Linked DNA regions of Solanum lycopersicum. The protein of the gene in region 1 interacts with the protein of each later gene in a pairwise test. Links are inferred from orthologs where the notes say so. Each region holds a gene or a part of one and is shown in the gene's direction. Other genes may lie near its edges.

The links.
Region 2: the proteins of GATA transcription factor 24 (region 1) and protein OVEREXPRESSOR OF CATIONIC PEROXIDASE 3 interact in binary tests that used the Arabidopsis thaliana proteins (3 or more experiments, as listed by UniProt). The link is inferred for Solanum lycopersicum from reciprocal best matches to the Arabidopsis thaliana genes ZML1 and OCP3.

Annotation. Positions count from the first base shown.
Region 1 is NC_090800.1:90,035,953-90,040,406, forward strand, and holds the start of GATA transcription factor 24, read left to right. Parts: upstream 1-1,478; 5' UTR 1,479-1,669; coding exon 1,670-2,071; intron 2,072-3,015; coding exon 3,016-3,099; intron 3,100-3,185; coding exon 3,186-3,319; intron 3,320-4,454. Other genes in the region: KH domain-containing protein HEN4, read left to right, coding at 41-123, 353-464, 591-722. UniProt on the Arabidopsis thaliana protein: Transcriptional activator that specifically binds 5'-GATA-3' or 5'-GAT-3' motifs within gene promoters.
Region 2 is NC_090807.1:48,217,433-48,221,803, reverse strand, and holds the start of protein OVEREXPRESSOR OF CATIONIC PEROXIDASE 3, read left to right. Parts: upstream 1-1,402; 5' UTR 1,403-1,516; coding exon 1,517-1,708; intron 1,709-3,067; coding exon 3,068-3,439; intron 3,440-3,977; coding exon 3,978-4,283; intron 4,284-4,371. UniProt on the Arabidopsis thaliana protein: May modulate chromatin structure by regulation of nucleosome assembly/disassembly.

The DNA of each region.
Region 1 (4,454 bases):
CGACTTACCTTTGAACATTTCCTCTGGGCTTGGCTATTAGACACGACCTGGAGTAAACCAAAGAGGTGCTTTTGATGTCAGCAAAGGATCTAATTCAGTTAAAGGTGGCATGGAACTTGGAAGGTTGGTGTCTTCCACTCTTCACAAGCGGCTAATGCTTTTTCACCTGTGACAGGATGTACTTACGAGGGTGGACTCCCTATAATATGATTTGTACGAAAAAATTCCCTGTCTAGATTTACCAAATGGTCATTATAGACTTGGAGAAAAGATATGTAAGATTATCTAGAAGCCTGAGTAGAAATTTCTTGGTTGTATTCATCAGCTTGTTGCATTTTTCTATTGCTTGCAGTGGAAGCAGATCTGCCATTGTGACCAATACTACTGTGAAGATCATGGTTCCTGAAAACATCATCGGCTGTGTGTATGGGGAGGACGGGAGCAACTTGACTCGTTTAAGACAGGTATGTTGTCCCTTTCCCTTTATTAATTAGTTTTGTGGAAGGTACATGGGATTTTTAAACTCATATTTCTTCGTACTTCCATTCATTTTTGTGCTGGTGATTGATCTTTCTGAGGAACTGAATCAGATTTCAGGAGCTAGGGTCATGGTACATGAGCCCCGTCCTGGAACAACTGACAGGATTATCGTGATCTCTGGGACCCCAGATGAAACCCAGGCAGCTCAGTCTCTTCTTCAGGCATTCATACTGACTGAATAACCGTGAACTTAACAAAGAGGATCCCAATTTTGTATACTGAACTAGTACAGTTAGAACTATGTCAACAGCCAAGTACACTTTTTATTTTGTATACTATGTTGTGATGAGTCTGATGTTTGTTTATTTTTAGATAGGGTATTAAACATTAGTTTTTTGGTCTTTAATATGTTAGGAAATAAGAAATTAACTTGGTATTTATCCAATTTGACTATGCCGTCAACATGAGCAGAAGTTTTTTCTTACATTTGAAAGGGGATTGATTAGTTGACATCTTTATTTGCTTGCATCTGATAATCTTATAACAACTAGAGAAACTTTTAACTACTTTTATTTTGCATAGTAATGTAGGCCTGAGATGAGTTTAGAGTGGAGAAACATGGTCATTATTGATTAATATAGTTTGTGTTTCCAATATTAAATTTTGATTTCATTTATTGAATAAATTAATACAGTTCGTCGTATGACATATGAAAAATGACAACAAGGATGACATTACAATTCCTTGATTTGGTTCAATTAAGAAGCCTGATCTATGCCCTAGGAAATAAACTATGGTAATACGGCTTGAGTGTTATCACGCGTTTAAGCTAGCTTTTGCTTTGATTTAATTATTTATTTTTTGATAAATATATATTTTTTCATATATAAATGATACATATATTGCAAATTTAATTTGACTTATCTTTTATTTTCAAGTCAAAATAAATGAAAGTAACGATACTATCTTTAAAAAAAATTAAATGATGTTCATCATTTGGAACAATGGTTTGTTTACATGGACGAAACTCTTGTTGTCGACCCCATTTTTGGGGCTTAAGGATTCGGGTTTGTTTGGATATGGCTAAAGCTTATGGAGCTAGATTTGTTGGATCATAGTAGCTGTGTGGGGGTAATAACGTCTTTTAGTATTTTTATTTTTTAGAAAATATAAATCAACGACGTCAAAAATGGCAGAAGCAAATCGCAGAGCTAACATGTACGGACGGGAGACGATGAACGCTGCACTTCACCAAGATAGACACCAGCAAACTCAGATCGACGACGACGATGATGACGACGTCGTCGCTGCTGTCGGTGGCGGTGGCAGTGGTGGGGGAGGAATAGAGTCTATGGACAACCCTACTCCTCACATTCGCTACGACCAACATCATCACTCTCATTCTCACGCGCTTCACAACGGCGGCGCCGGCGGTTCTATGGAGATGAATGGTGTGGAAGGTGTTTCTCATAACGCCTTGTATGGTCCTCCTTCCGAAATTGTTCCTACTGCTGGTAGTGGAGCTTCCGATCAGCTTACGCTGTCGTTTCAAGGCGAAGTGTACGTTTTTGATGCCGTTTCACCTGAAAAGGTATTTCTTTTACTTTGACCTCTCTTTTTGTGCTTACTAAAAATGTTTGCCCTCTAATTTGTGCATCTTGCTCGTTCTTGTGTAGTGTGTTCTTTTATAAGTTTAGCTGAAAAGGTGTTTCTTTTAATTAGCGAGATTGGTCTGCATTTAATTTTTTTGTGTTGCTTGGATTCTTGCTTTTTTTGTGTCTGTCTACAAGAGATTGAGTGACTTAGGGGGAAGGATTTTCAATTTTAGAGATGGGGATAATTCTGTATTTGGCCAAAAGTTCTTGCCTCACTCTCACTCGACTTTTGGAGTTGTTGAGGTATTTCAAGACTCCGAAACTGGTCGTTTCTGAGATTAGATTGTATTTGATTGGCGAATTGGTTAGTGTGTACGGTGAATTGTTTGATATTGATCAAATTATGAAGCAAAGAGGCCATGCTGATCTTTTTTATCTTCCACGAGTAAGAGTGATTCTCACTGGCACGATTTTAGTATCACTGTAATTAAAATCTATGCACCGATGCTGAGTGAGGGGTTATCGCTCATAGGTGAAGTCATGCACTTCATAGAAGTGTTAAAAATGATGCACAGAGTGATCCAAATAAGAAGTCGTTGATGCTCTGAATCTCAACTTAGAAGAGTAAGATTTATGGATACTGAAATTAGTTCGTTTTATTGCAATCTGATCGTTACAGTGCTAAATTCACATACTTAAGAATTTTTTTTGACGTTGAGAATTGTGTGTTTCACTTCAAATGTGTGTGCTGTTTACTTCTCACTTTTCGCTTCAAGCTCCATGGTCCTTATTGCTTTTTTTTGCTCTTTTAGAAAAACTGTTTAGTATATGTATCAGGTAGTGGAATTTGATTCACAATTAGTGGATTTAAAACTTCATTTTGATATTTACAATAATCTTAATAGGGGTAAATTCTGTTTTTATGTTTATTGAGTTTTAGGTTCAGGCGGTGCTGTTACTGTTGGGGGGATACGAAGTCCCTCCTGGTATCCCTGCTGTAAATGTGGTTCCCCAAAGTCAGAGGGTATTCATCTTTATCTTCCCCTTACATTTTTTTACCAGACTGGTGGTTTATAATCAGTTATGGCACTTCCGCGGCAATATTCACAGGCTTCAGGTGACTTTCCTGGAAGATTAAATCAACCGGAAAGAGCTGCTTCTTTAAATCGTTTTAGGGAAAAGAGGAAAGAACGGTGTTTTGATAAAAAGATCCGCTATACTGTGCGGAAGGAAGTTGCGATGAGGTAATAAAACTGTAGTTTTTAATGCATGATGTTGTTTTGTCTGCTTGTTTGAACCATATTCGGAACTAGGTGGAGATAATGTGCAAATTGATGTCTGTTGCGATAGATGTCCCATCTGTAATTGTCCATTCGCTGTGCTAATGATTGATAGGACTAATTCACCCTTCTAAATTAAGTTGACAATAAGAGTAGGAAAGACATTTGCAAATTGTTATACACGAGGGGCGTCTAGCTCTGCGGCAGATGCTTTATATCAGCTTTATGCATTGCTTGAACTATTTGACTGGAATGGTGTAGGAGGTGTTTTGAAGGCAAAAGGAGCATTTATCTTAAAGCAACATTATTTTCAACTGGCTGACCTGCTGGACTTGGCGAATGCTACGAGTCAACTCCAACTTTTTGTAATTTTCTACAGAATTACCTGAAAAAGTAAAAAAGAGTGGAGTATGTCATGACTGAAATATGGCAGGATCACCTGAGGTGCATCTTACTTTATCTTTAAAAAGCAGAGTGCCCCCGAGCTGCACACACTTATTTCATATCTAAGACATTGTTTGAATGTGAATATGTAATTTCTAAATGACCTGACTGCTAAAAAACAGTTGCCGTGAGACAAAATTCTCACTTCCTCTTTACCTTAGGTTTGTGTATAAGAAAAGGTCAACTACAGCATTTTAAGGAATGAGGTAGAACTAACTAAAGAATGCTATAGCGAGGACATTGTAGTGCACTAGGTTGACATTGGAAATATAATAGGATAATTAGTGGTGAAAACATTATCCTATAAGAGGGAAGGGAGGTGTAATAGTATTTAAAGGATGAGACATGACCTCCTACTGAGCGCCTTATATTCTATCAATGCAAATGTCCCATAGTTTTGTGGACTTCGGAGCATTGGTACAACTGGCGCTAAAGTAGTGCACTTCATTATATGAAAACTTGAAATTATTGTCCCCCAATCCTTGCTCTAGTGATAAGAACACAGTCTGTGATGTGGGGGTTAGGCGCACTCCACAAATTTAACCCTACCACAAACAAAAGTGTGGTATTTAAATGGAGAATGGTAAATGCGCAGGCCTCTTTCCACCGAGTTTCAAGCTGTTCGCCTTGGTCTTGGGGATTTCTCAATTATCAA
Region 2 (4,371 bases), on another chromosome or scaffold:
ACAACGGCAAAAATCGTGACCAAATGTTCTTAAAGGAATTTCAATCCCCCCTTTCACAACACACCTCTAACCAACGACGCTCATAAAAAACCTTTCACGCTAAGATCAATTCTCAGAGATCTACTCATCTAGATTCAATTTTGTAAAGCCGTACGAATTCCTTAGCGAGTTATCTAATCACTTATGCAATCAAAATCATAATTAAATTATTAGATTGCTAGCGTATTTCCCTATACCTCAAGTACTCTAATTTCGTTCAAATTTGGATAAGGTTGGAAAAAATTCAAATACTATGAAAAGTTTTTTCGATCACAATTTTTTTTTCATTGGCATTTCTATAAAGATGGAATCCAGTCGTTGCAATATGATAGTAATGTATGTGTAGTTAGGTAGTTTTCCTAGAAAAAAATTAAGTGGAGCCCATTTATCGGGTTTATTTAGGGAATTTTTATTAAAATGCACAAACTGGTTTGTTAATTAGGTAGGAGTCCTTCAAGTACTAAAAATTAGGTAGAAGAGACAAATAATATATATTAGGTTAAACGATGTTTTTACAATAGTCCCAAACTTTTCACTTTAATACTTTAGTCCAATAATTGTCGTAGTTGTCAGACAACTTCTTTTGTCGTCCGACAACTATCATAATTGTCGGTACAACGTCTTTAGTCGTTTGACAACTTGAATAGTTGTCCAGACAACAAAGATGCTATTAGTTTAGTCCTTCTATTAATATTAAAAACTAAAAAGAATGTAAAAAAAAAGGGCCCACTTGTCTTGAATTTTTAAGAAAAAATTATATATACTGACAAACTAATAATTCAAATTAAATGCTATAACTACACTTTAATTTAGTTGTGCCCTATAGTAAAATGTTTGTCAGTCGCCTCTCTCCCTCAAACTCTCACTTGCCACTCTCCTTCTCTCACTCGCTCCCTCTCACTGTATACAAGCACAAATGTATAAAATTTGTTTGTGTTCGTATAAAGTGAGAGAAAATTGTATATATATATATATATATATATATGTCCTATACACTTATAATTATACAATACAAATATTCATCTTCCCAATTTTCTTTTGTCTTTCTTTCTTTCTCGTTTTATACATACAAATTATACAATTGATCTTTTGTATGCAACTGCTTTCTTTTGTATATGTATAACGAATTATACAACTAGTTTCTTTGTATATGTATCGCGAATTATACAAATGATTTCTTTGTATATGTATAACGAATTATTCAATTTTATTTTTTTATATGTATAGCAAAATATACATATTTATGTTTGCTATGGAATGTAATTACGTAAAGTATAGCTATAATATATGACAATGAATTTTATGTTTGCAATATATGAAAGTTAGTCTTTAAGATACTTTTAGCTTATTTTTTCGTTTATTTAATTGATAAATAGTTAAAAGTTGTTGTGAAGTAATTTATCTCTACCATTATTAACTTGTTTAAACCCTTTGAATAGAATTGAGATAGGCCTTGAAGAATTTGAGAAAGTAGAGAATGGCGTCTTCTTCCACAACTCTGGGCATTTCCATTAGACTTGGATGTTCCAGCAATGAACATCTCATGTTGGTTCATCCCAGAAGCAGAACTAACATCGCCTTGCTATTTCATTCTTATTCCTCTCGTCTTGTTACTTTCTCTCGCCGTCGAAACAATTCTGCTATCACTTCTTCCAACAAAAAGAAAAAGGTACTACCTTTGTAAAAACCAGTTTTATTTATACATTTATTTTGATATTTAAAGGGGTAGATGTTATTCTTTTAGATTATCTTGTGGGTGGGAAGGAGGGAAAATTGAAGAAGGGCAAGAATGAAAATGCCTTTACTAGGGATTAGAGTATTTGAGCAGAGCAATTCTTTTTTTAAAAAAAATAATAATAAGTACACATGAAGAACTTAGGATAGTTCTTTTTAGAATTAGTTTTTCATAGAGAAGGTATGAAATATTAAGTTAGAATTGAAAAGAAATTGAAGTTTATGAAAGTTTTCTAATCTGGTAGTATGCTAAAAATTCGAGCCTAAATTTTGTTTCCTACTGATTCCCTTCCCATGGTTCCCATTGAGCAATTTTCTTGTGTTTTCTGAAATAGGTTGTTGTTTATGAATTTGTTATTTACTTGATCATTTGAAACTTTAATGTGCTTGTATCTGTAAGTAAGTTATGCTTGGCAAACATAGTTAAGGGATGATTGATGGTGGCACCCCTGGTGGACTAGACACGAGCAATTCTGATTTATATGTTTGTTTTAGGTAGTACCAAGTTAATACCTATTGATGTAGTTGAATAGAGCAAAGAAAAGTGTCGTACATTGCTGTGACTTTTTGTTTTTGTTTAACATCAGAAAGAAATTGCACCTTGTTGGCTCGTATTTCAACAGCAGTTGTTGCTCCAGTCAACTTACTTGTCCAGTGTTACTTTGTAGGTTTTACAGTTGACAAGATGGTTTACAAATTTCTTTGTTTTTGTAATTATGCCAAATAGTTTTGACCTGCTTGATCTACTGCCCTTCTGCTTTTAGTATAAGGGTCAATACCAGGAGACAAATCTTTTCCGTGTAATTGTATAGAGTAGTGATTTTCCAATCCATACATGTAACAGTAACTTTATAACTTTTACAGTTGACGAGTTGGTTTAGATTTTCTGCAGCTATTTTATTCTGGTACATGTGAATATCCATCAAAGTGAAGCCTGACCCATGAACTTCTTCTAGTGCACGTTAATGTCCATCAAGAAACCTTTCTTAGGCTGATGGAATTCCTTCCTGTCTTATCTTTTCTGGGATGTGGATTATAATCTCCTTTTAGTTGGCCTTCTGAATGTACATGATTTTTAATGTGCTTTGTTTTTTTGAGATCTTTCACTTGAATATTCAAACTATTTTCCTCGACTAGAAGTTTTTTAGAAACATATCTTTGTTTTGCTTTATTGGACATACTTGCTCACGAACTTTGATATCATCAATAACCTCTTCTTTACAGCTCAATTATTGTATTTCACAGCTTTTACTATTGTTTACTAAACCCGAGGCTCTGTTTGCTTCCTGTTTAGAGTCCACCTAGGAAAGATACGGAGGAAGTTGGTGATATAGATGAAGATGCTTTTGAGGCACTCTTTCAGCTGCTGGAAGAAGATCTGAAAAATGATGAGCTATCCTTGGACGATGATGATATAACTGAGGAGGACCTTGCGAAGCTTGAACGTGAATTGGAGGAAGCACTGAAGGATGATGAACTACTAGGAGAAATTGACTCAATTGCCAATGAGAACACTGAAAGTAGTATGGCTAAAGATGAAGAAGCAGTAGCAGAAGATGCCAATGGAGATGATGATGATGAAGATGTAGATATGCTAGTGAAATTGAAAAATTGGCAACTTAAGAAACTGGCATATGCCTTGAAAAAGGGACGGCGTAAGTTAAATGTAAGCTGCAGTCTTAATCTAGTCTTCTCAAATTCAGATACCGCAATTATATTACAGCTTCTCACGACTCATAAGTTTTAAGGCCACTTTGGTTGTACTCTGGCTCTTTGCGCATTCCAGCATTAAGCATATGGTACTAAGATCATTTGTGGTATCTATCCATGTGTCTGAAGTTTTCTAATGCTTGGGCAAAATTTACCTCTGCTTATCTCATCTTTCCTATGTATTCCCATTCTTCAGATTCCGTCGTTTTTGTAGCATATAGCTGGACATCTGCTTTTGGCTTGCATTGAATTCTTGACGTTAGTTTGTGAAAACTATATTATTTACACCGGAAGCTTATTATTGATTATTTTTCATTTGGTATTCAGCTTTCTGCTAGATAAACTCATCATAAGTATAGATTGGAAGTTTCAGAACCTGTAGCAGAATTAGAAGAGCAGAAAATGAAACTGCTTCTTCTAACCGCTACTACCTATTTAAAGATAATATGTCTAGTGGTGATAAGTTAGAACTTATATTTACCCTTCCCGTCCAGATAAAGAATCTTGCTGCTGACCTATGCCTTGATAGAGCTGTTGTTCTTGAAATGCTTCGCAATCCTCCACCAAATCTTGTGTTACTGAGTGCTGCCTTACCTGATGAACCTGTTCCCAGAATGTTAGAGGCTGCAAGCAAACCCCTGGAGACTGTTCCCATCGAGATGAGTGATGCTGTGAAGCCAGATGCTAAGGTGGAAACGCCAGTTCATGTGATGCAAAGTAACTGGTCTGCTCAAAAGAGACTAAAGAAAGTTCAATTGGAAACCCTTGAACAAGTTTATAGACGATCGAAGCGGCCCACTGTGAGTCTCTTTACTTCTCTATTTGTGTTTGATGCCCTTTTAGTCTGTTGGTAAATTTTCATATCTGAATACAGAGCTTCTGCATATT